Saccharomyces cerevisiae S288C: one gene and its partners. The gene in region 2 interacts genetically with the main gene of each other region. Each region holds a gene or a part of one and is shown on either strand. Other genes may lie near its edges.

Region 1 (9,232 bases), on a different chromosome or scaffold from region 2:
AAATGCCAGGGTTACTGTTGTCGGGCAAACTTTTAGGGACGAGGACCTAAAAGATAAAATTAACTTTGTCAAGGCTGATTTAAGTTTAGTGTCAGAATGCAAGCGTATATCTCATAGTGATGAAATTCCCTACGAGGAGTTAACACATCTGATTTTCACTACGGGTATTTTTGCATCACGCCAGAGACAAGCTACAAGTGAGGGTTTGGAAAAAGACATGGCAGTGAGCTATTTGAGTAGATACATTATCTTCCATGATGTGGCGAAGCGATTAGGAATTAGTAGGACAAAAAAAGACGATTTGCCAAAAGTTTTCATAGCAGGGTTTCCAGGAAATGGTCAGGTGGGAGACCCAGATGACTTGAATTCTGATGAAAAGAAGTATAGTGCCTACGCTACACATATGAACACTGTGGCAGCCAATGAAAGTCTGGTCATAGACGCTAAAGACAGATACACGAATATAGATACTTTCGGTTTGAACCCTGGGCTGATCAAAACGAACATTCGTAATAATCTTCTTGGCAGTGACACCTACCTCAGCCGCATTACAGAATGGATAATCAGCTGGACCTGTCAAAGCGCAGAGACGTATGCGAAAACAATATGCACCCTGATTGCGAGCCCCGCTATCGAATCACGCAGTGGTACAATGTTCAGCAACAAAGGCGATGCTATTTTACCTTCGCCTGGTTTGACCAAAGATGTTGTTGAGAAGTTTATGGAAAATTCGGAACTTCTAGTTGAAAAGGCCTTGCGTAATCAAAGTCCTTTCACTTCCAGTAACGAATGACTTGCTGTAACTAATTGGTTTATATTTAAATATTTCACTTTTTAAAGGGCGTTTGCATGCGACCATCGTCGATGATTCATATTGTTCGGATGCGGAAGATGGCTTCCATGAGTTTTGCACGCCGTCTCATGTGATTGTTGGAGTCATAGCTCGCATATCTTCCTATTGTCAGATGTAATATCGACGGAAATGGCATCTTGGAGTATGGAAGCACTATTCTGCTTTGCTCCAATATTTAGGATGCCGCATTTTTCATATTTTTTTTTACATTTTTCGCTTACGTATATAAATTGCTAGCAAGTATTCGCTCTCTCTGTCTTGGTTATCTAATTGCTAACCGTCGCAATTGAAAAGAAAAAAAAAATACAGAATAGACGATAGCGGATTGAACGATAGCATACTATTGAGTGCGTTTTCCCTTCTCATTTGAAAATTACTATCCGTTTTTCACTGCCGAAAGACTTGATGTTGAGGACGAGGCTTACTAATTGCAGTCTATGGAGGCCCTACTACACGTCATCGCTTAGTAGAGTACCAAGAGCACCTCCAGATAAAGTCTTGGGGTTATCTGAACACTTCAAAAAGGTAAAAAATGTTAACAAAATTGACCTGACCGTAGGAATATATAAAGATGGTTGGGGCAAAGTGACGACGTTTCCCTCCGTTGCAAAAGCTCAAAAATTGATTGAATCTCATTTAGAGTTGAATAAGAATCTTTCATATTTACCAATAACAGGTTCCAAAGAATTTCAGGAAAACGTTATGAAATTTTTGTTCAAGGAATCATGTCCGCAGTTTGGGCCATTTTATTTAGCCCATGATAGAATCAGCTTTGTTCAGACTTTGAGTGGTACAGGCGCCCTAGCTGTAGCAGCTAAATTCTTGGCATTATTTATTTCAAGAGATATTTGGATACCTGACCCATCATGGGCAAATCATAAGAACATTTTTCAGAACAATGGTTTTGAAAATATTTACCGGTATTCCTATTATAAGGACGGTCAGATAGACATCGACGGATGGATTGAGCAATTGAAAACCTTTGCATATAACAACCAGCAAGAAAACAATAAGAACCCACCTTGCATAATCTTGCATGCGTGTTGTCACAACCCTACAGGTCTCGACCCAACTAAAGAGCAATGGGAAAAGATTATAGATACTATATATGAGCTAAAAATGGTACCCATTGTTGATATGGCTTATCAGGGTTTAGAGTCTGGTAACTTACTAAAGGACGCATATTTATTGAGGCTATGTCTCAATGTAAATAAATATCCAAATTGGAGTAACGGTATCTTTCTTTGTCAATCTTTTGCCAAGAACATGGGCCTTTATGGTGAACGAGTTGGTTCCTTAAGCGTTATCACGCCGGCAACTGCGAACAATGGAAAGTTCAACCCTCTACAACAGAAAAACTCATTGCAGCAAAATATTGACTCCCAATTAAAAAAGATTGTCAGAGGTATGTATTCTTCTCCACCAGGATACGGTTCTCGTGTGGTAAATGTAGTATTATCAGATTTCAAATTGAAACAGCAATGGTTCAAGGATGTTGATTTCATGGTTCAGAGATTGCATCACGTCAGACAGGAGATGTTTGACCGTCTAGGGTGGCCGGATCTTGTAAATTTCGCACAACAGCACGGTATGTTTTACTATACAAGGTTTAGTCCAAAGCAAGTCGAAATATTGAGAAACAATTACTTCGTCTATTTAACAGGTGATGGTAGATTGTCGCTTAGCGGAGTCAATGATTCGAACGTTGATTACTTATGTGAATCTCTTGAAGCAGTCTCGAAAATGGACAAACTCGCATAATTTTTTCACCTTACAGTTCACCTTTGTCTTTATTTTTTTATTACTTTTCCCTTCTCATTTTGCCACACAATAATTTATAGAATATAATAATTTTTTGTAATAATTAATAAACCTTTTTTTTATCTACTCTATATACACTTTTCAGATAACTAGATTGGATTAATTCGTGATCGAACTAGTTATTAAATTTTAAATGAAAAGAAAGCTAGCGCTAGCCAACTATTTTAATTACGGTGGCAGTGCATCATATCCTTACATTTCATTTTAGGTTTCCTATGTTTTCTTCTTTCAAATCATTTCCTGCCAAAAATTTTTTTCAGTTTCCTACCGAATTTACTGTGACCGTGACGGTCATGCGACTTATCTTTTATAGCTGCATCATCGTTATGAAGCTTGTGTATCTCTCCATTTTTATCAATGATAGTCACCGGAACGCTTAATGGTAAGGCTGTAGGCAGGTCAGGATTTGATGACTCCAAAGTGGCTGTTCCACCAGATATGTTCCTATTTGACAATTGGCTTTTATTTCCGAATAATGAAAACCGGTGGCCTTCTGTACCAGCTTCGCTTACGTCATTAGTGTTCATGGATGATGCAGTGTAAGGGGAAGAATCATCGTTGTTGCAGCTCTTTTTATTTGCTAATATTGGCATATCGTTTTCGTTGGTCTTATTTTTGAAGTTCGTCATGGGATTAACTATCTCTGTTTCGTTCGTGGTATGAGTAGAATGACTTGTTCTCCTTTTCAGCGGAGAGGGCAAACCAAAAGTCCATGATTTTCTTGAGACATGACCTCCTTTTTCCTTCTTTTCTTCCACATCCAGGTTCTCTGCTGCTGTGGCTGTAGCATTCTTTGTGATAAGTGGCTCTCTCAAAGACATGCTTCTAAATCCTAGGTTATCCTTCGCAGGTCTTTCCTTCTCAAAACTAGACTTCCTGGCGGGGGGTTCTTTGGGGTAGAGTGCACTATTATTTTTATCAATGTATAGAGGGACATGATCAGGCAATCGTCTCGATGTTGTGCTCGCCTGAGGAGCTTTTGGAAAACACTTGGACGCCTCGTGTGAAGCCAAGTTGCCAGATGATGGAGGATTTGATGGCTTCTTGCTATGATATGGAGGGGATGAAGATGAGTCAGAAGCTGGATATACTATATTATGCGAAAGAGTAGCCTCATTTGAACTACCACGTAGAGTTCTTAGGCACGAACGATTGGTGATTTTTCTTTTATCGTCGAGACGCTTGGGAGACATCACGGGTATTTGATGAGAACTAGATTGATCGTATTTCTGTTTTGAAATACTCGTCGGAGGGCCATGGCTGTTCGTTTTCGTATTGGAAGCAGTTTTCCCTGTAGAGGAATCAATATTTGGAGACGTTTCTATCGAATAAATGGACGAGGAAGTACTTGATGGAACGGCTGATTGTTTCAAATCAGATCTAAGTTGTGGTTGTAGTGAGCTTTTCAAAAGGTCAGGTGCAACTCTTGTGGTATCCGTGGAGGACTTGGAGTTCACGTTTTCGGAATCTAGGCTGAAAGTGTCTGAACTTGTGTTAGTGAGGTAAGGATTAGCACCACGTAAATACTTGGCCATGTTTGTTCCGGACTGACTAACTTCTGCATTTTCAGAATTTTGTTCCTTCTTTTTATTATCTTCTGTCTCGGTAGAATATTCTGAAGGGTGTTTTAATGAAGGCACGTCAGATATATCTTGTTCTATTTGAACCGGATCTCTCATTATCACGTCATAAGAATCATGATATTCATCATCATCGTCATCATCATCGTCATCATCATCGTCAACATTTTCATCATCGTCAACATTTTCATCCTTGTCATCATCGTTAACATCATCGTCCTTGTCATCATCATCGTCATTATCATTGTCTTTGTCATCATCATCGTCCTTGTCATTGTTGGGTCCATTATTTTTGTCCATAACACTACCAGTCTCATCCTCCAGTTTAACGTTCTCGATCCCAGAAGTGCTAGGGAATTTTTCAGAACTTTCCGGTTCATTATCGGAAAGCGCCTCTTCTTGATCTTCTTTTTGGACTAAAAAGCAATTTGTATCGACGAGGCCTGACTTTTTTCCCTTTGTACGTTCTTCCTGTTTTTCACTATCATCATCTTGCGGAATTTTTAGTCCAACCTGATTTCCGCCTATTTCAGACTCCACACTTGTCTTTGCAGTAGCGCGAAGATCAGTTGCCGAGCCTTCTATATAATTATAATCGGATAATTCGCTGCCAGTGAGACTGTTTGAATCTGCAATGCACCTCACTTCGTTATCTGAATTCATGTGGAAGTTAGAATTGTTTAAAGAGCCGAGAAGAATAGGATCTACTAAATTTCCTTCGGCATCAACAGAATCGATATTCTCTGCATTTTCAATATTCTGAGTTTGATTGGAGAGAGTTGATGGCTCTTTCTCCACGTCTTCCGGAGGTACATAGGCAGGCTTAGGTTCTGATAAAGTAGGTTGACGAATCGTGATCGATTTGACCTCGGATGCTACTTCCTGTCCTTTGTGAAAGTGTTGTTTTCTTTTGCTTTCAATTAGTTTTAATTCTTGGGCTTCAAGGTCGGCATTCTCCTTAACTATATTTAGCTCTCTTTTCAATAACTCCATTCTCCGTTCTTCATCTAGCTTAACTTTTCGCAATTCCAAAATTAAGCTTTGTTCCCTTTCTTCTTCGTTCAATTTTGCTATTTCGATATTTGATATTTTTTCCTCCAAGCTATGAACCTCTTTAAGCAATGTTTCAATTTCTTCCTTTTTCTCACGTCCACTGAGACCACTTTTATCTTTTTTGGGTATGCTACGATCGAGAACGCTGGGTTCAATAAAAGAGTTTTCGTCATCGGATATAATCATGGGTTTAAATTCTAAAGGATCATGAAGATCCTCTTGCAGTTCTTGTTCCGTTTCCTCGTTCATAGTTGTTGGTATTAATGGAACATTGTTATGCCGTTGCTTTAATGATGTAGTATGCATTTTAGATAATACTTTGCCATGATAATCGTTTTTTGATTTACCGCCGCTTTCACTTTTTTTCTCTTGTGATCCTGCTTTCTTAGTAGTTTTATTCCTATGCATTAGACTAGTTTTGTTGTTTCGAGTAGGCAAAGAATATGCTCTACCACCTCGTTGGTTTGAGCGGTTGCTCAGACTGTATCTAGGAGGCTCTACTTCCACGGGTACTTCCACAGCCATTAACCCCCTAGGGCCTGGTATGTATTTTTTTATCGTCCTTATTGTGCTGCCTGAGTTCCCAAGTGATGTGGTCCTTGATTTACTATTCTGACCAGTCGAACTTGAAATGTTTAAAACCTTCGATGACTGCTTGCCTCCAAATTCTCGAAACGTGGTTTCTGCATCCTCGTGAGCCCTGTGTTGCCTTCTCCCCGCCGAATTATTAGAGGTATTCTTATGTCCTTGGTTTGGCAAACTCGACGTGCGCTTAGAGTATTGGCGAACGTTACCATTCATTAAGAGCATCCTTGAGTTAGTCCTAGAATTCGAGAGCATTGTATACCTATTAATCCCTGCGATTGACGTAGTTCGAGAGGTAAAACTCTGATTGTATTGCGGTATTTTACTCTTGTCAACGGTCCTCCCATTATAACTGAGCGCATTTCCAATTGCTGCTGCTGCTGCTAAGGCATCTGGACTACTTTCTTGGATCATCCCGCTATTTCCAATGCTCCCACTATTTGTTGATACTTGCCTCTTTCAGAGCTATCTGCCTTATGTTGATTATTAGGGTTAATAAATGCTATTTCCTCCCGCAATAATTGTGTAATTTGAACGAAGAATATGAAGAAGATGGAATGGCGATTTTCACTCTAAATTTTAAAAATTGCCTCTTTACAATAGCGAATTTCCTAACCCTTTTTTTTTTTTGTTGATTGCCTATTGCTCGTTCACTTCCCATTTATTTTCTCTCGAATTTCACCAAAAGTTGATGTGGATAATCAATCATCGGGCCTATTCCTGCGGGTAAAACGCAGGGCCCAACTCAGGATAGGGTTTAATATTATTTTAGAGGACTTACAAGAAGGAAGTTATATGGTTTAAAAATTGTAACAAAGTTAGAACACATTTATTTAGCAGGTCTAATTTAGGGCTGCAACTATCTTTTTGGTTATTCATATAAAATATAATTTTTTATTTATATAGAGAATACAAGTGGAATCATCTTTAACGCCAGCTTGTAGTGCGCATTGCAGAATAATGGAAGTTCAAAAATTAAAAGCGAAGGAGAAGTGATAGTAGAAAGACGGATGGGAGGCTGGGGGACGAAGAGAAAGTAAAAGGGTTAATTTATTCGACGGTAACAGATTTAGCCAAGTTTCTTGGAAAATCAACATCAATCCCTTTATTAACAGCCAACCAATATGACATTAGTTGTAATGGAATAATATTAATTAGACCTTGTAAACAATCAACAGTTTGTGGAACTTCTAAGGTTTGCAGGTCGATTGATTTAGATTTTTGCGCCCACACTTCATCATTTTCGTTACAAATAATAATTGGATGGCCCTTTCTTGCAGTAACTTGCTCAATAGAGGAAACTACTTTAGGGAATAGAGAGTCTCTGGTACCAAAAGCAATGATTGGCAAGTTTTCGTCCACCAAGGCCAAGACACCGTGCTTCAACTCACCTGCCAAAACACCTTCAGAATGCATATAAGAAATTTCTTTGATCTTCAAAGCACCTTCCAGAGCAGCAGCAAATTGGTAACCTCTACCCAATAACAATAGAGATTTTTGATCCTTTAATTCAGTCGCACAGAGCTTTTTTATTCTTGGTTCCAGCTTTAATACCTGCTTAATTTGGCCCGGGATTAACTTCAAGCCTTGAATGATTTCAATTCTTCTGTCTATTTTCGATACACGGTCATCTGACAGCGATAGAGCAAACATCACTAAGGCAATATACTGGGAAGTATAAGCTTTTGTAGAGGCAACACCAATTTCAGGACCAGCGTTAATATGAACACCACAGTGGGTGACACGAGAGATAGAAGAACCAACACTGTTAACAATTCCGACAGTTAAGGCTCCTCTTTCTAAACAATAATTTAGAGCCAGCATGGTATCCGCAGTTTCACCACTTTGTGAAACAAACACGCATACATCGTCTCTGAAGACAGGGCATTTTCTGTCCAGAAAGTCAGACGCTAATTCCACACTAACTGGGATATCTGATAATTCTTCGAAGATAGCACGAGTAGCCAAACATGAATGATAAGAAGTACCGCATGCGATCATGATCAGTCTCCGTGCTCTTCTGACAACTGGTAACCATGCCTTTAAACCACCCAATATCACTTTATTATTTTCATAGTCGATTCTACCTCTCATAGTATTGAAAGTAGATTCTGGTTGCTCATAGATTTCCTTTTGCATAAAATGGTCGTAAGGGCCCTTCATGATCTGAGCTAACTCCATCTCTAAAGTTTGAATGGACCTTGTCATTGATGCGCCTACTTCTCTTCTAGATCTATGAATATGTAACTCACCATCGTAAATATGAGCCAAATCGTCATCTTCTAAAAATAGCACCTTCTTGGTATGTTTAACAACAGATGCCGCATCCGAAGAAACAAAAAATTCCACCGGTGTTGGAGATCCATCTTCTGATAGGAAAGCCCTGGATTGAGAATGTCTCAAGTTAAATTCATTGGCGGCAATTGGTAGTAAATTGGCATTTTGGGAACCAGCTTCAAATTCACGAGCTTTCTTTGGGCCCAAGCCAAATGATTTGTTGTTAGATTTCAATGGAATTTCCGGTTGACCAGCGTTTTCTTCGGGAAATTCCACATCCACGAAGTCGACTTTTAGTTTTTTTTCAGATTTGACACCAATCAGTAAAGGGGACCCTTTTCTAGTGGCGATAACCTCATTAGGATAGTGACAAGATTTACATAATAACCCGTATGAACCTTCTAGTTCTAAAAGAACTAGCTTGGTTAATTCGTGGAAATCTAAGTCATGCCCATTTTGTAAATTTGTATTGTATAAATGCAAATATAGTTTAGCAATACACTCGGTATCGGTATCACTTTCGAATTTATAACCTTTGTTAATTAAAAGAGTCTTCAGTTCTCTAAAATTTGTGATGATACCATTATGAACGACCACAAATTGGTCTTCTGGGTCAGATCTTTGAGGGTGACAGTTAACTTGTTCTGGTCGACCGTGAGTAGCCCATCTAGTATGCGCAATACCACAATGAGAGACAAAAGTAACGTCTCTGTTCGGATTTTGCTTAGTAATCTCCTCTTTCAAAGCACTCACTTTACCGATTTGCTTATAGATGAAAGTAGAATCAGCTTCGTCACCATCGATAGCAATACCGGTGGAATCATAGCCTCTATATTCTAATCTTTGTAAACCATCCACTAAGGTGTCGATAATTTCTCCTCTGGATCTTTCCACTAGATAATTGCAGTAACCAAAGATACCACACATTTTTTTATAAAAGTTGCTGTTGATTTGCTCGAGAACTTATTGCTTATTTGGCCCTGATAACTATATAAGAAAAGAAATACAGTTATTCCTTGTTTATGCTGGCTTTTTGTCCACTTTTTCTCAACTATATAACTAT
Region 2 (7,778 bases):
AAAATCTCTACCACTACTTTTAAAAGGCTACATTCCATCTCTGGTCAAGTTACCATTTTTTATATATCGCCTGGGTAAAGAAGTTGATTGGGAGGATGAACAAGAGTGTCTAGATGGTATTTTAAGAGAGATTGCATTACTCTATATACCTGATATGGTTCCGAAAGTCGATACATCTGATGCATCGTTGTCAGAAGACGAAAAAGCCCAGTTTATAAATAGAAAGGAACACATATCCTCATTACTAGAACACGTTCTCTTCCCTTGTATCAAACGAAGGTTCCTGGCCCCTAGACACATTCTCAAGGATGTCGTGGAAATAGCCAACCTTCCAGATCTATACAAAGTTTTTGAGAGGTGTTAACTTTAAAACGTTTTGGCTGTAATACCAAAGTTTTTTGTTTATTTCCTGAGTGTGATTGTGTTTCATTTGAAAGTGTATGCCCTTTCCTTTAACGATTCATCCGCGAGATTTCAAAGGATATGAAATATGGTTGCAGTTAGGAAAGTATGTCAGAAATGTTATATTCGGATTGAAACTCTTCTACAATAGTTCTGAAGTCACTTGGTTCCGTATTGTTTTCGTCCTCTTCCTCAAGCAACGATTCTTGTCTAAGCTTATTCAACGGTACCAAAGACCCGAGTCCTTTTATGAGAGAAAACATTTCATCATTTTTCAACTCAATTATCTTAATATCATTTTGTAGTATTTTGAAAACAGGATGGTAAAACGAATCACCTGAATCTAGAAGCTGTACCTTGTCCCATAAAAGTTTTAATTTACTGAGCCTTTCGGTCAAGTAAACTAGTTTATCTAGTTTTGAACCGAATATTGTGGGCAGATTTGCAGTAAGTTCAGTTAGATCTACTAAAAGTTGTTTGACAGCAGCCGATTCCACAAAAATTTGGTAAAAGGAGATGAAAGAGACCACGCGCGTAATGGTTTGCATCACCATCGGATGTCTGTTGAAAAACTCACTTTTTGCATGGAAGTTATTAACAATAAGACTAATGATTACCTTAGAATAATGTATAACCTTTAGTAGTGAATCTGCGGTATCATAATAAATGAGATACATCTTAAACAATTTCCAGGAAACAGTAGATATTTGAAAAAGTGCAATAAATTTTTGAAATCTGCTGTTATTTGATCTAAAATCTTCTTCCAACGAATCTACTTTGTATTGAAAAATATCGAGCTCCCTCCTTATAGCATCCAATGTTTTTAAGGGAGGTTTAGAACTCTTGTTCAAGTATTGATCTAAATCTCTGTCTAATGAGATGATTTTCCAATACAAGACCTCTGTGCTGTTTTCTTCCCTGTAAACATCAACGTTAGGCAAATCCTGCAAATATGCTGCATGTTGTAATAGGGAGGATACTTCTGTATGAAGTGCAATTGGTTTGCGTGGCCCCGATTGAAGATAATCGCATCCACACAGGCGATAGAATATTCTTCCCAAGGTTACTTTAGCGATGCTTTCAACGGGGTCATCATTAAGTAAAGGTCTAAAGTCATCCACATGAAAATTTTTAAAGGTATGGATGCACTGTGTTAGGAGCGAATTTGCCAACAACGGTTCATCGTAGGGGAAAGTTGTAGTGGCTAAAATCAGATATGCTTGAACGAGCCTTATATCGGGATGCGCCATGAAATCACATTGTTTCAATTGGAATAATGAGCAGCGTGCAAAATTTTGGCACATGACTAATTGCATACCATCTTCCCAATTGAGCCTTTTGTTGCTACCCAAATATTCATGGAGAGGATATACTGAAAATATTTCTGCTAACTTCTCGACTGGCATATAATAAATGCACATGGTAAAGACAGACCATATTAGTGCGTCCCAGTATTTGCCGTCTACACTGTGATTCTTGTCTGCCCTTCTATCCCAGTACTGTTCCACCCTCAAATATAATTCACTGATATCTCCAATGGAACCAAAATACAAAGCACCTAAGTTTTCCATAGCAAAGTTCATCAATTGGAATGATTGGTCTTTTTGAAGATAATTCATCCAAAACATACATTCTTCAGTATCAGTATCCAAATTAGCTGGTGTTCTAGTAAGATCTCTTTGTTTTGTTTTGTACAGCCCAATATTCGTTATCCAATATTCATAATTTTGCCAGAATAACAATAGGTCAGGGAGATATTCCTTGGAAGATGAAGCCGTTATTAGTTTTGTTGATTTCATACATTCGGAGTCCTGTCCTCTCTTCCTGCAGTTTCCACACGGTATCATACGATCACATTTGACTTTTCGCCTCGTACACACGGAACAGGGATGCTTGGATTTCAGTTGAGTGGTACGGTTAAACATTATTATTAGGATGCAAACTCGTGTTCGTAACTTTTGTCATCACCTGCTCTCTGAAGGTTGGTTATAATATTTCATTCTCTTACGCTTAGCTTACATGGCTGCGCGCACTTCATTTAAAGCCGTAAAAAATAAAGATTTCATAGAATATGAAGCTTTGAATCTCATGTAAACATTTATATAACTATGTAACGAATTATTTATCCAATGAAAGATCCACATGGACTGATTTTATTTGTAAATAGTTATCAACGCCGGTGTCGCCTGATTCTCTACCAATACCACTCATCTTAAATCCGCCAAAAGGAACTTTAGCTTCTTCTTGATTGGTTTGATTGATCCAAACAGTTCCTGCTTTAATATCGCGAGCAAACATGTGCGCTTTCTTGACATCTTTGGTGAAGACCGCAGAGGCGAGCCCGTAGCAAGTATCATTAGCCAGCTTCAGAGCGTCATCATAATTTGTGAACTTGCTAACAACCACAACCGGGCCAAATATTTCATCACGCAGCAACTTAGATGTTTCTGGTACATCAGTGAAGATGGTTGGGGGAATGAAGTAGCCTTTAGCTCCACCAATAGGAAATTCAGAGGTCTGGAACATGTCCAACTTTTCCTCCTTTTTACCACGTTCTATGTAACTTTTGATGCGGTCATACTGTGTACTTGATATAACTGGACCAACGATGCATTTCTCATCAAACGGATCAAATTTTCCTGCAACATCCCACTCCTTCTTTGCAGTTTCTTTAAACTTTTCAACAAACTTGTCGTAGATCGAACTTTGAACATAAACTCTTGAGTTTGCAGTGCAGATCTGTCCCGAATTAAAAAAAATACCATTTGCTACCCATTCTATAGCCTTATCAAGGTCTGCATCTTCAAATACAAGAGCAGGAGACTTACCACCGCATTCTAGTGTGATATCCTTAAGGTTCGATTGGCCGGAAGCTTCCAATACTGAGCCGCCAACCTTAGTACTTCCCGTAAAAGATATTTTGTCGATATCCATGTGGGTTCCTAAAGCTTTCCCCACAACGGAACCATAACCAGGAATGACATTGACAACACCAGGTGGAAAACCTGCTTTTTTAATTAAAGTAGCAAAATAAAGTAGAGATAGAGAGGTATTTTCAGCAGGTTTGATGATAACCGTGTTACCGGCCGCTAAGGCACCTTGCATTTTTCTACAAGCCATAGCTAGAGGATAATTCCATGGAACGATTTGAGCAACAACGCCAAAAGGAACTTTTAGAGTATATGCAAACTTGTTAAAAGTCAATGGAATGGTTTCACCCATATTGAACTTGTCGACCGCCCCCGCATAGTATCTTGTAAGTTCTATAATCTGGGCTAAGTCTTGTTTAGCATTGGAATGGAAAGGCTTACCAGCGTCTAAAGTCTCTAATGCGGCAAGTGTGTCTTGCTCCTCCTCAATAAGTTTTAATAAGTTTGAAAGATAAATACCACGTTGCTCAGAAGATGTCTTCGACCAAACGTTATCAAAAGCAGCCCTGGCAGCTTTCACAGCTTTGTCTACATCCTTTTCGTTAGCTGCTTGGAAGGATGTTATCGGTTCGCCAGTAGCTGGGTTCACAGTTTCGATGGTCTTTCCATCTGATGATGGACAAAACTCATTGTTGATAAACAACCCTAGCGGTTGCTTTAAAGAGATTTTCAATTGTGGGATTTCGATATCAGTATACAAGGTAGGCATTTTTCTTTTGGCTAATTTTCTAAATGTGTATAATCTATATCTCTATGATACAAGTCCAAGGTATAATTACCTGGCATGAGTCAAATTTATTCCCATCCAGATTTGCCATTTTATACAATTAGTTTCTGAGGTATGATCAGTTAAATCTACGCTATTCGTTTGAACAATCTCCCTGTCTCCTCCCTAAACTTACTAATTCCTTAACCCTTAGGGAGTTTAGCAATCAGCTTAAGAAGGGGGCTGATCAACAATCCGGTTCAAGTCTTGGATTAGCAGTAATGAAAATCCCTAAATGCACTAAAGGGCGTGGAAGAAAGGTACTGTAGAGTTCTAATAGTGATACTTTCCTTGTACTCCAGGGGGGGAAGGAAGAACAGACGTCATATGCAGAAAAAGAAAAAAAAAAGACGGAAGATCTACGTAATGGTGGGAATAGAGAAAACTAACACGCAAGTATAATTTCTTGACACAAAAATAAATCTCACTGAGTTTATAGCTCTATTTTTTTACCATCTTAAGGGATTTCTAGGACCTAGTAACAACAATTGTTCCGCATGCTGAAATAATGGTGCTTACAGTTTTATATCGAGTAGTGGACTACTACTGTTTGCTAGACTGTCAACATATTCATCCGTCGTCAGGCTAAGCTATTTAGGTACTTACGCACTTACATAATGATAACTATCACATTAGTTGTCCAAAGAGAGATTTATGTGAACTGCTTTTGTTTGAAGATAGGTATCAACACCACTTTGCCCCAGTTCTCTACCAATACCACTCATTTTAAACCCGCCAAAAGGAACGGTAACATCTTCATCGTTAGATGAGTTGATCCAAACAGTTCCTGCTTTAATATCGCGAGCAAACATGTGCGCTTTCTTGACATCTTTTGTGAAGACCGCAGAGGCGAGCCCGTAGCAAGTATCATTAGCCAGCTTCAGAGCGTCATCATAATTTGTGAACTTGCTAACAACCACAACCGGGCCAAATATCTCATCCTGTAACAGTTTCGATGTTTGCGGGACATCAGTGAAGATGGTTGGGGGAATGAAGTAGCCTTTAGCTCCACCAATAGGAAATTCAGAGGTCTGGAACATGTCCAACTTTTCCTCCCTTTTACCACGTTCTATGTAACTTTTGATGCGGTCATACTGTGTACTTGATATAACTGGACCAACGATGCATTTCTCATCAAACGGATCAAATTTTCCTGCAACATCCCACTCCTTCTTTGCAGTTTCTTTAAACTTTTCAACAAACTTGTCGTAGATCGAACTTTGAACATAAACTCTTGAGTTTGCGGTACAATTCTGTCCTGAATTGTAGAAAATGCCAGCTGCTATCCAATCGATAGCCTTATCAAGGTCTGCATCTTCAAATACGAGAGCAGGAGACTTACCACCGCATTCTAGTGTAACGTCTTTAAGGTTCGATTGGCCGGAAGCTTCCAACACAAATCCACCGACCTTGGTGCTTCCCGTAAAAGATATTTTGTCGATATCCATGTGAGATGCTAGGGCTTGGCCTACAAGTGATCCATAACCAGGAACGATATTGACAACACCAGGTGGAAAACCTGCTTTTTTAATTAAAGTAGCAAAATAAAGTAGAGATAGAGAGGTATTCTCAGCAGGTTTGATGATAACCGTGTTACCGGCTGCTAAGGCACCTTGCAATTTCCAACAAGCCATAGCTAGAGGATAATTCCATGGAACGATTTGAGCAACAACGCCAAAAGGAACTTTTAGAGTATATGCAAACTTGTTAAAAGTCAATGGTATGGTTGCACCTTTGTCAAACTTATCAGCGGACCCAGCAAAATATCTGGTAAGCTGTAAAATTTGTGCCAAATCACCTTTGGCATTTGAATGGTAAGGCTTTCCAGCGTCTAAAGTCTCTAATGCGGCAAGTGTGTCTTGCTCCTCCTCAATAAGTTTTAATAAGTTTGAAAGATAAATACCACGTTGCTCAGAAGATGTCTTCGACCAAACGTTATCAAAAGCAGCCCTGGCAGCTTTCACAGCTTTGTCTACATCCTTTTCGTTAGCTGCTTGGAAGGATGTTATCGGTTCGCCAGTAGCTGGGTTCACAGTTTCGATGGTCTTTCCATCTGATGATGGACAAAACTCATTGTTGATAAACAACCCTAGCGGTTGCTTTAAAGAGATTTTCAATTGTGGGATTTCGATATCAGTATACAAGGTAGGCATTTTTCTTTTGGCTTATTTTCACGATTGTTTTTGATGGACATGCAATGTAAAAATGATAGGAATGGGCCAAAAGTATTTTTAAGGATTCGCTCCCTTTATATGAACATTCTTGAGCAAAATTCGGGATATGATCAGTGAGTGTCGACAAGATTGCATCCCTAATGTTTAAACGAGTTAAAAAAACTCATCATTGGATAGGAGTAACCAATAAAGGGTATATGATTGCTATTATTAGTATCCAAAAGCCGCCGGGAACATCATAGGGCGTTAGCAAGTAAACGCATGGCACGATAATGGCAACCTTGTTTCTTCTGGCGGCAAAAGATAAGGCAATGCAAAATAAAAAACGAGAAAAAAAAAATGATAGAAGGGAAAGATAAGCAAATTTTCTTTCGAGCTGGAACGCTTCATTTTAATCTCACGCATTTGCAACCCATGCTGATGTCTGAAGCGCTGACAAATACTTCATACGTTCTTCTTGTGACACATTAAGAGGTAGCACGGAGGTGCAAGTAAAGATGGCAAAAGTACGGAAAGTAAGAAGGAAGTTTGCGGGTCAACCAGTTGCCCTTACTAGTGTACGTAAACATATGTATATATGTATGTAAATATCTATATGCTGCACTGCGATATCGAGTAGGTGATAGCGTTGAAACCCTCAATAAGGAAGAAAACGTTATAAATTGCAATGTTTTTAAAAAATGGTGGCTCTGCGTAATACAGCGCAAAAAAAGATAACTGACCGGGGCTAGTGTTTCAGCCTTACTATCTCATGCATTTTCGTATTATATGCCATGCATCCTGCTTTCGTAATCATCAAATTCTGAAAATTGTTCGGGATCTCTCTCGTGATCATTTTCATCTTCGTTATCATTATCAACACTATCGAAAGATGCTTCATCAGTAATTAAATTTCTGCTCGTTCCAATAATTCGTCCGCTTATTGCTGATTTATCATTTTTCGAATGATGTTCATCGTCCGAGTAACTTGGTGGTAGCATAGGTAAGGAATCTAGATTAATTTCCTCATTGATGATCTTCTTTCCAGTGGGAGGGGACATAGTGAATTCAAATCCAGGTGGTGGCGGTAATATTTCACCGTTTCTTATAATTATATCATCATTGAGATTTGTAGTACTACCAGCCGCAATATTGTCGCTATCACCGTCTGAAAAATCTTCGTCGAAATCATTGTCTTCACCACCGCTTTCTAATAGGGTATCTTTACCGTAGTCTTCGTAAGAAGGAGGAGGTAATTTAATGCCGTTTGACTTTGCGTATCCCCATTTTTTAACGTTTGCTTCTATATAAACAAAGCCATAAGTGCCGAAATTCACATGAATTTGACAAGGTACGTTGGAGCCAATGATCGGGTATAGGTATTGGAATTTCCAGCCGCGGATATGACCACCAACAGATTTTTCATTTAGTTTTTTTCCGTTCCTGGTGAAAAATACTGTTCCACTACGTGACCTATAGCCAATGCCAACAATGTCTCCCTTTTCACACTGTGGAAATAACGTTCTT
Region 3 (5,764 bases), on a different chromosome or scaffold from region 2:
CCAGGTTTAATATCTAACAATTTCTACAGCAGTTACACGAATTATTACTAGTTATATTTCCAGTGAAATTATTGAACTTGCCTCCATTTTCATTGACGCATATTGATATTTTCATATTCATTCTTTTGGGCTGGTTCGAATTGTCTCTTTACCGAAACAGTTTTATTGGGGCACGGCGAGAAAAGATATAACCTGTGACATAATGGAATACGCCACTATGTCTTCTTCGAACTCCACACATAACTTTCAGAGAAAGATTGCTCTTATAGGAGCTAGAAATGTCGGCAAAACCACATTAACGGTTCGCTTCGTAGAATCGCGGTTCGTTGAATCCTATTATCCCACTATTGAAAATGAATTTACCAGGATAATTCCTTATAAAAGTCATGACTGTACTCTGGAAATTCTAGATACTGCAGGCCAAGATGAAGTTTCTCTATTAAACATTAAATCGTTGACGGGCGTACGAGGCATAATACTGTGCTATAGTATAATAAATCGTGCTAGCTTTGATCTTATTCCCATTCTCTGGGACAAGCTGGTAGATCAGCTGGGTAAGGATAACCTCCCGGTAATACTTGTGGGTACCAAAGCTGATTTGGGAAGGAGTACAAAAGGTGTAAAAAGGTGTGTCACGAAAGCTGAAGGAGAGAAACTAGCTTCGACAATTGGCAGTCAAGATAAGAGGAACCAGGCAGCATTTATAGAATGCAGTGCCGAGTTAGATTATAATGTTGAAGAAACTTTTATGCTCCTTTTGAAACAAATGGAACGTGTCGAAGGAACTCTGGGGCTTGATGCCGAAAATAATAATAAATGTTCTATAATGTGAAAACTCGAGCGTCCCTAGGATATCATTGGTTTTATTAGTAGGAAAGCGGTCAGTACAATTTGTATAATAATACCACATCTTTCTCATACCTGTTACGGTGTGCTGCATTTATAGTAAGAGGTTGAATATTGATAAAACCTTTCAATGGCTTGGACGCCTCGTTTAACAAGCAAGAATATTTTAATTATGGGGTTTTTGCTAGTTTTCAAGATGCGTTAGCAAACCTAAGTACCATTAAAAATTTCATGTTTAGAATGCTCCTACATGTGTTAACTTTTAGTGCATTTTTTCAAAGTAATTTGCCGTTGATGTTAAAGACATGAAGTAACTGTCTTTTAAAACTAAGGACAATTGACTTTCTTAATCTTTTTGTACCTAAGATGGAAGATTCAGATAGGACATCCAGTAGCAACCAGTAAATGTACTAACTAATATTTCATCCTTTCTTTGACTGGGACGAAGTCGGATCACACTATGTACTTTATCAGCACATCGCAATATTTTTGGACAGCACTAAAATTGTGAATACCAAAAGATCAGAACCAAACAGCGAGTGTAAATAAATTTTCTTGTATTTTTCTTTTAGCTCTGCTTCAATTAATTATTTACATTTACGAATAAATTTGTATATATTCTCCCTCGGTAAGTACCACCTTTTTTTTTACTTTTTGCTCTAAGAGTTACGATTATATATACATAACATAAATAATGGAATAAAACATCACCTGGAAGCTAAGAATATATTAAGTGACAATTATACCAGGGGTTGGACTAGTCAAACAATCAGGTGAATTGTGAACACAATACGACATTTTCTCTTATTAATTTTGGATACCTATCTCACAAAATATCATAACGAGACAAGATATCTGCGTACGATGCTAAAAATGAAAAAAAAGAAAAGACATGAAGTTATAAAAAAACATTGGTACGATATGCAAACTGCCTAACAAACCACAAATAAGCAAAATAAGTGAGGCGAGGTAATTACATATATCTGAAAAGAGGTACAGTATAACACTCTCTATAGATGGAACTTCAGAATGATTTAGAGTCGCTCGATAACGAGCTGAATGATTTTAGTGAAGATCCATTTCGTGATGATTTCATAACGGATGAAGATGCTGTAAGATCGGGGTGGCGATCTGCGTGGACCAGGATGAAATATTGGTTTTATAAGAATAGACTGAAGTGGACAAACAATCCCATAGTGATTGGCGACGCGAAAGATAGTAGGGATGGTTCTAACTTTAGAAGGGGTATACCGCTATATGAATTAGACGCGAATGGTCAACCCATTGATACTGAACTTGTTGATGAGAATGAACTTTCTTTTGGAACGGGATTTCATTCCAAAGTGCCTTTTAAAATAATATTTCGCACATTGTTTGGCTCGCTGGTGTTTGCCATTTTTTTAATTCTGATGATTAACATAGCAAAACCCCATCACTCCACGAGAGTGCTATCGCACTTTGGCAGTCCTGAATTTGACCCTTACGTGAAGTATTTTAACGGTACGCATGAATTTTTCCCCTTAACGATAGTAATTTCACTAGACGGTTTCCATCCTTCACTCATATCTAAGAGGAACACACCGTTTTTACATGACTTATATGAATTGAAATATGATGGAGGTATGAATATCACGTCCACACCTTTTATGGTACCCAGCTTCCCTACGGAGACCTTTCCCAACCATTGGACGTTGGTTACTGGACAATACCCAATACACCACGGTATAGTCTCTAACGTATTTTGGGATCCTGATCTTAATGAGGAATTCCATCCAGGTGTATTGGACCCTCGAATATGGAACAATAATGATACAGAACCAATATGGCAAACTGTTCAGTCTGCATTTGACGGTGATATACCATTCAAAGCTGCTACCCATATGTGGCCAGGTAGCGATGTGAATTATACCAAGTATAATGAAGAGAAACTACAACCTGAACATAAAAATCCTATTGCTAGAGAGAGAACTCCATTTTACTTCGACGAATTCAATGCTAAAGAACCACTTTCGCAAAAATTATCCAAGATTATTGAATATGTGGATATGAGTACACTGAACGAAAGACCACAGCTAATTCTCGGTTATGTACCGAACGTAGATGCCTTTGGACATAAGCATGGATATCCGTCAGAGTCGGAATACTATTATGAAGACTTCACTGAAACACTGGGGGAAGTAGATACATTTCTGAAGCAACTAGTGGAATCGCTGCAAGAAAGAAATTTAACCAGCTTTACTAATTTGGTCATTGTTAGCGATCATGGTATGAGCGATATCGTAGTTCCCTCAAATGTTATTATATGGGAAGACTTACTGGACGAAAAATTGAGGAAGGATTATGTATCGCACGCATATCTAGAGGGTCCGATGATGGCTATATCGTTGAAAGATTCCGGAAACATCAATGAGGTTTACCACAATTTAAAGACTTCTATAGATGAAGACAAGTATACGGTTTACGTTAATGGAAATTTCCCCAAAGAATGGAACTTTAATGATGGAAAAAATCATCACATGGCGTCAATCTGGATTGTGCCCGAGCCTGGGTATGCAGTGATGAAGAAAGAACAATTGAAGAAGGTGGCAAAAGGTGATCATAAGGACAAAAACGAAGACAATGTGTTCACGATTGGATCACATGGATACGACAATAACGCGATCGATATGAGATCTGTATTTATTGGTATGGGGCCATATTTTCCACAGGGATACATTGAGCCGTTCCAAAATACCGAAATTTACAACCTTTTGTGTGATATTTGCGGTGTGGCAGAAAAGGACAGAAATTCCAATGATGGGACTGGGATGCTTATGAACCAACTCCGCGAACCCCAGAGCAGCGAAGAAGTAGAGATTGAAGATGACTTTGATTATTTGGTCAGTAAGTTTGGTGAATTCAGCACTTATAATATAATTTGGGGCGGGTACCCCGAAGAGACAGAACAAGACAATGTTGACAATGATAATGATGACAACGACGATGGAAACACTGATGAAATAGCCGCTATGCCATCTTCGTCATTAACGATAAAACTAGAAATGACAACTTCAATACCATCAGCAACTGAGACTCTACTGGGCGAAACATCACCATCATCAAGAAGCAGCAGCAGCAGCAGCATACAAGCTAGCGCTACTGCTAGCACAGTGGGGGATTGGCTTCAAGACATAATCAACGACGCAAAAGATCTCATTGACGACATAATTGACAGCATCGACGATTTAGTCGATTCTGATACCTAAGCTTAAGGTGGGACAACCGCGTTATGAAATAAAAGACGCATCCTTGTGAGTCCCGCGCAAGAAAACATATGCACGCAGAAAGAGACTTTTATTTAGATTTAGTATATCTCTAAACTTAATTCAGAAGTGAACCACTCTCTCACATCCGATGACAGTGGGGTCAATAAGATGTACTAAGTAAGAAAACTAATTACACAATAAAAAGAAACAAGCTGAAACTAGGCGTGTTAACTCTTTCCTAAACGAGGAGGTTTATGTCGTCATTTGGACATCGAGCATTTTTCAGCTGTTGTCCTTTACTAGAAGGAGAAACTTTGCATTCAATAAAATTGCGCAAAGAGGCAACATACCAAACTCAATCCGGGTGGCCGGTTCGATGGCCGATTCGGTATCCGCGCGCACTTCCCCTAGAATCCCACGTGCACCCATACCATATGATCGTTAAATTACCGCACCCACGCACCCAACCGCGGCTGTTTCTATGGCTGTCGTTGCATTGGACAGGAATTCCTTTTTTGGGAAAGCCGGGAATAGGTCGCAATCGGGTAAAATCAAAACAATTTTCGCATTTCCAACAGAGTAAAATCAAAACAACTATGAGAAAAAAAACAACAAACAGAAAGCAGAAAGCAGAAAGATGTCAATATAGACTTGTCACTGCGTAATAGAAGATAGCTTCAATTTTTTCCGATAATAATTTCCCATTTTTTTTTTTCAAATTTAGCCTTCCGTGCTTGCCAGTATATAAAGCTTTGAAAGCAATTTATTGTTTCTCTTGTAATCTTAACTTCCCTTTTTTTCTCTTATTGCGTCTTATCTTCCTTTAGAGTTTTTCATTACTACCCTTTTTCCATTTATTCTTTTTCCCTTTCAATAGTATTTAAAGGAAGACGCTACACACTTTGAAGGAAGAGCAAATAAGTTAACTTTTTCATCTCTTTTTTTTTCTCAACTTCAAACTAGTCACTCAAGCAAACTTTTGTTCCTACATATCCTTTGTTTGTTTCTCCTCTTCCCATTTCAGCACTTTTAATCTATCATAAATGACTTTACCAGGTGGTGTTATTTTAGTTTTCATTTTGGTCGGTTTGGCTTGTATTGCCATTATTGCTACCATTATCTACAGAAAATGGCAAGCTAGACAAAGAGGATTGCAAAGATTCTAAAAAGGGCGGAGCGAGCCATTTTATTTCCTGTCCCCTTCATCTTTGTTTATATCCATTCTAGAACATGAATTAGACTACTATGTGTGTGTGTGCGATACCCTTTTTTGAATTCTTTCTACCTTTTATCCCTCACTATGCCTTTCTTTTATTTGTTTCGTCCGTTCGCTTTACTGTAAATGAACGTTGTTACTACTTAGTGTGCGTGCTCAAGTTGAATTGTGCTTTTTTTTTTATGGTTATGATATTTGAACTAAAACGAGTGTGTGTTTCGTATTTAGACAGATCCCGTAAAATCCAAATTGTTAGCTTTTTTCCTTTTATCACTATTATTTTTTTCCACTCTTAACAATGTGTGTGATTGTTAAGTCTGGCTGATGACTCCTCATGATAACTCATGTGTGTGTAAAATTGAGTTTTTCATGGTTGTTTTCAAAGATAAATTACATAGTAGTGTAATCAAAATAGTGTATGATTTTTTTTTATTTTTAGAAAATCTAAATAATAAAT
Region 4 (9,278 bases), 560 kb from region 2:
ATCCATCCCAAAACTTAAAATTATCATCGTTCCTAACTGAGTACGAAAGTATGTCTCGTGAACCGGTGTAACACTTGCCATTATTGAGCCCACATTGAATGCTACCATAGAAAAGAACAAAAACACTGATGGAGACACATTCTTGATAGTAAATCCTACCAGTAAGGCGGCAATAATACCCCAAATTAAAAACATAAAGTAAGTTCCACCAGCCCATAATGCCGTGTACTGCCTTATATTTAATTGAAATTGGAAATAATAAAACGTAAAGATGCCAAAAGAGCCCCATCCAAAGAATAAAGCCAGCATAATTTGAATCATATGACGATCCTTTATAACTGCGCGCGGCAATAGTGGAGTCTTGGCAAATCGAATCTCATAAATGATGAAAACGACAAGAAAAATCACAGAAATGATTAAAATTACGATGATGTAAGCCTGGTTCCAACCCGATATAGGAGCTTGGTTCCACACAAAATTTAATAAAATGAGACCTATCACGCCCAAAACAGAACCAATCCAATCCATAGAAAAATGATGAATATTTGTTGGTATAGTACTCGGAATGGCATATATGGAGAGCACAAAATTAATGAAAGCGGCTATGCTATACGCGTAGAATGCCCATGGCCATTGTTTTGGGTCCTCGGTACCGATCAGTCCTGCAAAAAGACAACCTAAAGTTGCTCCAATAGGGGCCATCGCACCAACAAAACTAATCACGATGTTTTTACGAAAAGTACCACCTACATATATATTACCAATTATTCCCAGCACATTAGGTAAAACAAATGCAATCCCTAGCCCTTGGAAGGCTCTACTAATAATAAAAAAAGTATCGCTACCAGAATACTTGGTAATCCCACAAATCAAAGACCATATAATAACCAGAACATATCCTACTAACAACATTTTTTTTAATCCGTATATGTCACCTAGTCTGCCACTAATCAAAATAAATGAGCCTGAAACTAGCGGAAAAGATGCCATCAGCCATGACTTTGAGTTTCCTTCTGAGCCAAAACTGTCCGAAAGAATATTCATGATCGAAAGAGTCTGTGTAGTGCCTGCTTGATTTAGAAGCTGACTTATCATGCATGTGAATATAAAAAGATATTCTTGCCATGCATATTTAAAATAGTTTGGGTTCTGCCATTTCTGATTGCTATCTACCATTTCATCTTCAGACTGCGTAAAAGCTGTTGCTGTTAAAGATTCTCCGATATTATTATCTCGTGACGATTTTTTAACAGGTAGTTCTGTCTCATTCTCATACTCACCCTTACTTTCCGTAAGCACAACTAATGACTGATTGCCCATTATTATTACCTGTTTGAGATTCTCTAATTGCCTCTCTTTTTACAATCGTACACTTTGAAAATGTTGTTTTAAACTTAGAATATGCATTTTATTCATTTTATAAAAACGTCTCATTCTTCAGACGTTTATAAACAACTGTAATAGTGTCAACTTTTATATAAAGGTCATCTTACCTGAAAAGTGTAAGTTCTGAAGGTAGAGAAGAGGTCAAGGCAGACAGGATCCTGCGGCTTGACGTCGTCGCTAACGAAACGAAGTAGAAAAAAATTAACAGGTTTGAGTCAGAGAAAATTATCGTTCCACATTGGTGACTCGGTCATTAAGACAACAAGTGCCGGCAATAAATCGCTTACGTAATCTGTGGCAGAATGAACAGGTTAGGTGCATAATACCGCCATTCCATTAGTAATCACTATATTATTTAGTTTATACAAAGAAATCGGAGAAAAAAAGGGAGAAACACCTTGGCAGGCCGCCTTAGGCTTCCTTGGGCTTTGTCTAAATAGTCCGATGGATATGCATTATACTTCAGGCTCAGCACAGCTATACTACTCGTCAGGATGCGTGTTGTCTTCCGCAGAGGCGCCCAAAATATTGGCTGCATACATAAATGTCGAATGTTGCACTTGTGCAAGGTATTGGGCCATGACGTCAGATCCTGGTATCGTTCTATGCCTTGCAAAAGATCCTCTCTTCTTCTTTCTGTTATTTGCTGTTTCGCCATTTGTGAAAATATCTTGCATTGGCGTTTCGTTGTTCTTCGAGTGATTATATGACAAAGTTGAGGGAGCTCTTGGAGGAGCTTGTCTTAATGACGACCTATAATTGAGCTGTGACATTCCTACGGCTTCTTCCTCGTCTTCTATCTTTACTGGTCTCTTACTATTAATGACGGTCTGACTCGAGCTTCTTAGAGTTTGTGATTTTAAAGCGTATTCAGGATCGCTCGGGGAGTGCATAATGACCTCGACGTCTGATGACGAGTCGGAAGATCCCGATGACTTGTTAAATATATCTTCATAATCAGTTTCATCCGATGTCGCACGTTTGACGTCAGAGCTCGCCACAGCGAGACCCAGTCCACCGAAACTTCCAGTCTCATTACCGTTTTCATTTTCAGCCTCTAGTTCACTTTCATTTTCATGCCCAGTATTATTTGCAGTTCCTGTTTCACCACCGCCGTTGTCCTTATGTGCGTCCAGACTAATTCCTAGGGATTCCAAGTTCAAGGGTTTATCAAAAGCCTTTTCCTTTTCATCGATTTCATTCTGCCTCCTCTTTTCTTCCAACTTACTCAAACGTATATTATAGCTCGGTCTTTTAACTTTCTTATAGAATCTTGAATTTTTACCTGCTATCAAATTTTTGTTTATATTGCCACAACGATCTTTGCCGTAGTTTATCAGAAGGCCCTTATAACGGCCACCGAATTTTTCCTCAGTCGCCCTTTTAAGCGTCACTTCACCGGATTCATTTTGTACTGTGGATTCCTTATTCATTTCTTCAACAAGACTAATCGCAGAAGATATATTCATGAAATTTATCCAACAGCAATGGCTATCACTCAAATAGTTAATCTGCTCAATATCACCATAGGTACTAAAGTCCTCTCTTAGTTGTTCCGCATCTGGTAAAGATAGTGTTTCATGCAATTTTTTGTACTGAGGGTCGTGAATAAACTTTTCCTTAAATGCAAACTCTGGTAGGCTTACGTAGACATTCCTACTTGCCCCGATCGTAACAGCCAACGAGATTAATTTCGGTAATGGACCAGAATAATGCCCCCATCCAACTCTCAACATATTCCCATGTAACACTATTGGATCAATAAATGAATTTGCATAGAACTGTACAGCGGATGGAGCTTCGATGAAAGTAACAAAGCATATCTTCTTCTCCGGTATGTACTTAATGCTCTGAAGGATTCCTCCACGCACGACATTACAGATATCCTCCGCCTTTGATCTTGGATTAATGTTTCCTATATAAATTGTTCTATTGCCTATGTCTGAACCCATGGATGATGCCACTTTGGCCGAAACGTTGAAATTTTGCTCCAAACTTTGAGTTATTGGATTCGGCAACACCCTTTGATTCATTTGCAAATTGGGGGATACCGGAGAAGGTGTGGCTATTAACTGTTGAGGTATTATCGCTCCATTGGACTGATTAGAATCATTCATAAACATATGTTCATTTAATGGCAAAGGTGATGGGATATCTTGAGAAAATTGCCTAGAGTTTTCTGTTGTCTTTGAAATTTTGACATTGCTCAAGTGAGTAGAGTGTTCTTCAATAGTTGGTGTTTGATAGTCGCGATAGTTGATTTCTAAATAAGTCCCATCAAGTTCTACCCCTTGAAGTTTCGTCGCAAGCATATCAATCTCTTCATTTAAAGATACAGATGATGACAGACTGGTTAAACTCATATTAGAGTGACCGTATACGGAAACACCAATACTACTATTATTATTGAGTGTGGTGATACCACTCATATTACTTTTATTATTGTTTCCGTTGTTGTTGCTATCGTTATTGTTCCCAGCAGTAACAGAAGGCACCGATAAACGATGTGTGCTCGTTTTACCCTCGTAAATATTAGCAACCGAAGATCTGGCTGAGCTAACTACCAACGGGGCTAGGGATACGTAAAAACATTTAGAAATGCCTAAGTTTTTGGAGTATTTTTTCAAATAATCGAGAACTTCAATAGCCATAGAGATATTCAAAAAGGTTAAAACGGCGTAATTTTCAGGAAATTGATTGGAAGGTACATCTGTGTTCACTAAATCGATAGATTCCAAAATGTATCTTTTGTTTTTTGACCTGTCCAAAAATTGTAATTTCTTTTTGAATAAATCGCTTTTCTCCACGGGGCTTTTGAATTCAATTATAATCGACCTTGTAGCATCTTTGTTCGCTATATTATGATGCAGCGAAGCACTGATCATTGTTGAACCATTGGTAATGTCGGCTTCTTCAGCGTTTTCTGTTAACGCTTCACTCTCAATAAAGGTAGGGAGGCATTTGGGATCATAGTTTAGACAAACAAATTTCAGATTTAGTGCTTCAGATTTCAAAAATGTTTTGAATTCAGATAACCTTTGTAAAATGTTATTGTAAAAGTTCAAACAGTCGCCTTTGGTTAGAAAGCTTATTAGAATGGATAGATTTTTAGTCTCTACATCTTTTGAATCATCGCTCTTCCCTCCTTCAATTAAGTAGGCACTTTCCAGAGTATTGGATTTGACAAAATTTTTGACTATAGAGTGTAAATCAATAGAATGATCCACATTTTCAATAAGCAGCGACCTAGTTCTATAAGCATCATCACCAGTCGGTAGAACCTTGTAATTAATACAAAAGGGTCTTTGTAAAAGCATTTCTGGAAGTATGTCGTCGAAAATGTTATTCCTTGCGAATGTTCTTCTTCCACTGTTGTTCCGGGTGTCGCACCCCTTATTGTTGTTGTGAGTAACATTCCTCGTACTGTTGTTGTTCCTCGAGAAAGAATTTCTCCCCATTCTATAATAGTTCGAGGGTGTTACCATTCCGTTATTAGTATTGTTTTGGTTACTGTTACTGTTTCCGTTGTAACCGTTATGATTAGAAACGGGCCTCGAATAAGCCTTTCTTTTGAGATTAGATGATCTTGCAGAATTATAGCCACTTTGCATGTTAGGCGAGGAAACAAATGGAGATCCCATCAATAGGTGAGATGGAAAAAGACTGGCACCGTATGCAGTATCAAAAGGTGTTGGTGGAATATTAGGTAATGGTGAGTTGGTGTAATATGCTGGGTGTTGAGAAGGACCATATTGGCCGGCACCGTTTACGAAATCAACAGGATGATACATCATTGGATTTCCCACCATGGCGTTCATCCCATTATAATCTTGCTGTTGACGGTATGCGTAATTCGCAACAGGTTTTTTTGAATTGGAATTTGACATATTGGAATCCTCAAAAAAAACAATAGAAAACGGATTCTTGCGAGTCTTGTTCGAGCCGATCAAAAACCCCTTCCTTGATAATATAAACGAACGACGTGAATGAGCCAACTACACCTCTTCAGTCTTTGGGATATCTTCTCTGGATGCTTTTCACGTAACCTGAAACAAGGAAAAAGGGCAGGTTTGTTGTGGTGTTTCTATGCTTGATTTTATTTTTTTTTTTTTAGCCCGTTGAGGCGCAACGAAAGGGGAAGGGTGACCAAAAATAGCACGTAAAAGCTGTGAATAAGGTGAAAGTGACGCTAAATTGAAAGAAAAATCCCAGTGACCATCGAAGCGTTGATTACTGTCTTTCAAACACAAATGTAGGTTGTTTATATATATTGTTTCTTTATTTTAAGCTATGCACTTTCTCCCCCCCAAAAAACAAGCGTATTTGGCACATTAGGGAAATGTGATCACTAGCATATTCTCCCTCGAAAGGTTGGGAGTGTTTGGGCATTTCTTGTGCGCACGGCATCCTCAGATATCCGATTATTTTTACGTTGTTATTTCCTTCAAAAGCATTCAGAGGCTCTTTCTGACGCGTGTCCTGATTATGATCACCCTCGATATAAAATATGTAGTCTAATAATCCACACCATGTATTGGCCCAGTTTGAGAGTCCCGGTTCGCCGTGGCTTCCGTTAGCATTTTCAGGATGCACTTTACCGTAGCCAATCCCATACAAAGATACGCCTTTCACATGTAGTGAATTATGCAACGCAACTAATTGATTTACCAGAGCCTTTTCTTCCTTTGTGGCTGTAAAGCTCTCTGGTTTTGGGTTTTGTGGTTGATCTGAATGGCCTTCGCCCCTAGACTTTTCATCACACTCTTCATCATCCTGGTCACTTTCTTCTCCATTCCTTTTTTTTGAATACCGATACGCTAGTGAGCATTCCACCATAGCTCTTATTGGGCCTTTTAATATCAGTGGTCTTTTCGTTATGGCCAAGTACGGTGGCTCTTCAGGTTCGGTATTGAAATCACCCATCAGTAGGCTATGCCAGCCATTATATTTGGAACATGCTTTAATTTCCTGGATCTTTTGTAAAACCAAGTAAGATTGCCTTAATCTTTCAAATACCCCAAAGGGATGCCAAAATAGGTGTGTATTTGCGACGATAATTCCTCTTGATGATGAATCTGTTATACCCTTGAAATATAGCGATATAATAAGGGCAATATTTTTAGTTCTTGTTCTTGCTGAAATGACATTTCCCGCCAATATATTATCGTAGTCCAGCATCCAATCATTATCTAACTGGAATTTTTTATTGTTCCATGCAACTAGTAGTCCATGAGTTTTCCCTTCATGCCTTTTGAAAATCACATCAAACCCTAACTTATGGAAATTCTCCTGCCAGAAGTTGAGTTCATTGTAATCGACCTCCTGCAACGATACTACATCAGGCCTGTACTTTTTCAATTCGTGGACCAAAACTTTTGATCTCTTATGCCACTTTAACGCTGGTCCACTTTCTGGGAAAAAATCTCTCCTAATCAAGGTTTGTGCTAGAGTATTATAGGTCATTATTTTAACGTCCAATGAATCTTGGGTGACTTGTATGGTCGCTGGCGTAAGACCTTTCGAATTATCATGGTTGATAGGGAGGAATGGTCTTTCAATGAATTGTAAGTCAGGCGTTGGGAAGTCAGGGTCCTTCCCTTGGGATATTAGAGAGTTCCTACGTACCTGTCTCTTCTGAGCACGTTCTTCTCTGATTTTCTTGATTTGATCCACACTTAATTGGTCTCTGTGTATTTTTTGATGTGCTGGGCCATCTTCACTAGGTGAAACGAGGCCTGAGGTGGAGGAGGACTCCTTCTGTGAGGGGGATATTTTGCCTTCTACTTGGCTATCCATATTGAAATTAATGTAGGAGACAAAACAAAAGAAAAAACTGTTTAATGCTGTAAATATTAAATTTTCAGTGAGCTAACTCCACGATAGTAAGTAGTCTGCTTCAACCATGTGTTAGTTTGGTATAACTATTGTGATTGAATATTGGTATTATAGGTCATCCTTTTTTTCTGTGCAACGAAGGGGTGGCTGAGCATTTTATATATAATGTCGGGAGAGGAATGCAGGACTTTTAACATATCAAATGAATAGTATCTGAGTTGTTCACATATTTGGTACGTATATTATTTATTATTCTGCAACTTGTTTACTGCATGATAATATTGAAATAAAGTGAAGAGAAGACGGCACAGAGAAATTACAATGGCGCAAACGTAAGGCAAAAATGGCACAACGAATTCTGAATTCGATTGCTGGATCACTTTTCAAAGATATTGTGTTCGGTTGTGACAAAGGCATCATTAAAATAATTATATGTCTTTTGTCATAAATTTAGATCGTTAATAGGCTTTTTTTTGTATTTTTAATTCACATGTTAAATGTTTCGTTTTGGCAACTAATAATAAACTACATTAAGTAAAATGCAAAACTTCAAAGTGCGGAAAAATGTATTGGTATATAAATACTATAGACAGAATACAGAGAATCCGTATCATTTCAAAGGTTCATTACTTAGTATCTCCGCAGGGAGGATTCTGTTGTTCGCACTTCTCTGCTGAAAGCTATCCTCCTCCTCATCTTCCTCATCTTCATCTGAAATGGCGATGCTAAAAGAATCTACCATTCGAAATATATCAGATCTATCCATTGCCTTTCCATCAAAACTCAATTCAAAGCTTTCGTTGGCATTTGTGGAAACACTGGCCCCGGCTCTCTGCTTCGCATTGGAATTAGGGAGATTCTTTACGGGCTTGCTGTTACCTTGCAGCTGCTTTTGTTGCCGTAACGTTGATGTCAGCTGCACTCCGCATAATTCGTCTAGTGATTTTGAGATCCGTGTCTTACTATTTGTGGACAATTGAATAGGTTGCAAGAAGTGATAGTTTTTCTCAAACTTCAACGAAATTAGCAGGATTATGATTTTTTTGGATATATCGTCTATCGTTTCGTGCACTGGAGATGGTAATTTATATGTGGTAACGACGGACCTAGGTAAGATGCACTTCTTGATGTTGAAATTTGTTTTTGATTTCGTGGGAGAATTCGTCAACTTAGGTGCCACACTAGTGCTACTTCTTGTACCATACAAATCAATTGGCTTGGTAAAATACCGTTTCTTTGTACACGTTCTGGAAGGAAAAATAATTTCATTTATGCTGCTCACTTCCTTCGTTTGATTGAATTTAAGAGATTTAGAATTTAAATGCGACACCGACTGATGATGCGGATGGGAATTTACATTGGTGTTTGCAGCGCCCATGGTATTTGTATATCTAGATGGCCTGTTATTATTACTGCTACCGCCCCCGGTATAATGGTCTTCATTAACTCCTTTATTAACCTGCGAAATACTGTTAAACCTTGGTCTCAGGTTTTTTGTGGGTGACTCTGGATAATAGAAAAACTGCTGGTTGGAATCGAAAGTCGCTTTTTGTTGGAAGCTCAGGACTGGCTGCTGATTCAAATTAAACTGCGTAGGAGGCAGGACCAGCCCACCGCTGTTATTGATGTAAGATGATTTGTTATTGAGCGTCCTTCTTGGCGACACTGATGGACTTGGGCTCATTGCTACCTACTTTTTTTCTTACTGACCTAAGGCTGCAGGTGCAAGAAAAGAGTAAAAGAATGTTAAAATACGTTTTGAAAGGTCTCTGTTTTCATGTACAATTGAGGGATAAAAAAATCTTTTCTTTCTTTCAATGCGGATGATTGACACTTTCTTATTTTGTGTTTTTATTTATGTTCTTTCCTAATCTGGAAAGCATATTAAAGACCGGCGCTACCCGGTTAAGTAATCATACACGTGAAAAGCACGTGAACAACAAAGCACTTTAAAACTCATATACTACGCATTTAAAGAATGCTAAAACGGCAATTGCCACTGGGCACCATTTAAAAGGTCAATAATGAATCTGTGACCTTTCTTTGCTATAGCATCA

What was found.
Region 1: mutations in CEP3 (region 2) and SEG2 together harm fitness more than expected from each alone (negative genetic interaction), as found in Saccharomyces cerevisiae (one large-scale study listed by BioGRID).
Region 3: mutations in CEP3 (region 2) and PMP1 together harm fitness more than expected from each alone (negative genetic interaction), as found in Saccharomyces cerevisiae (one large-scale study listed by BioGRID).
Region 4: mutations in CEP3 (region 2) and NAB6 together harm fitness less than expected from each alone (positive genetic interaction), as found in Saccharomyces cerevisiae (one large-scale study listed by BioGRID).

The regions. Positions count from the first base shown.
Region 1 is NC_001143.9:236,278-245,509, forward strand, and holds SEG2 (Seg2p), read right to left. Parts: upstream 6,307-9,232; coding exon 2,908-6,306; downstream 1-2,907. Other genes in the region: YKL107W (putative short-chain dehydrogenase/reductase), read left to right, coding at 1-793; YKL106C-A (uncharacterized protein), read right to left, coding at 870-989; aspartate transaminase AAT1, read left to right, coding at 1,259-2,614; glutamine--fructose-6-phosphate transaminase (isomerizing) GFA1, read right to left, coding at 6,943-9,096; YKL104W-A (uncharacterized protein), read left to right, coding at 8,755-9,009. UniProt on the Saccharomyces cerevisiae protein: Likely plays only a minor role in eisosome assembly.
Region 2 is NC_001145.3:596,832-604,609, forward strand, and holds CEP3 (Cep3p), read right to left. Parts: upstream 2,328-7,778; coding exon 501-2,327; downstream 1-500. Other genes in the region: mismatch repair ATPase MLH1, read left to right, coding at 1-364; aldehyde dehydrogenase (NAD(+)) ALD3, read right to left, coding at 2,521-4,041; aldehyde dehydrogenase (NAD(+)) ALD2, read right to left, coding at 4,731-6,251; EAR1 (Ear1p), read right to left, coding at 7,037-7,778. UniProt on the Saccharomyces cerevisiae protein: Acts as a component of the centromere DNA-binding protein complex CBF3, which is essential for chromosome segregation and movement of centromeres along microtubules. CBF3 is required for the recruitment of other kinetochore complexes to CEN DNA.
Region 3 is NC_001135.5:162,438-168,201, reverse strand, and holds PMP1 (proteolipid ATPase), read left to right. Parts: upstream 1-5,134; coding exon 5,135-5,257; downstream 5,258-5,764. Other genes in the region: putative GTPase RHB1, read left to right, coding at 203-832; nucleotide diphosphatase/phosphodiesterase NPP1, read left to right, coding at 1,863-4,091; YCR025C (uncharacterized protein), read left to right, coding at 4,346-4,756; YCR024C-B (uncharacterized protein), read left to right, coding at 5,337-5,603.
Region 4 is NC_001145.3:30,238-39,515, reverse strand, and holds NAB6 (Nab6p), read right to left. Parts: upstream 5,274-9,278; coding exon 1,869-5,273; downstream 1-1,868. Other genes in the region: ATR1 (borate transporter), read right to left, coding at 1-1,320; NGL3 (3'-5' poly(A) RNA exonuclease), read right to left, coding at 5,665-7,182; YML119W (uncharacterized protein), read right to left, coding at 7,832-8,905. UniProt on the Saccharomyces cerevisiae protein: RNA-binding protein that associates with mRNAs encoding cell wall proteins.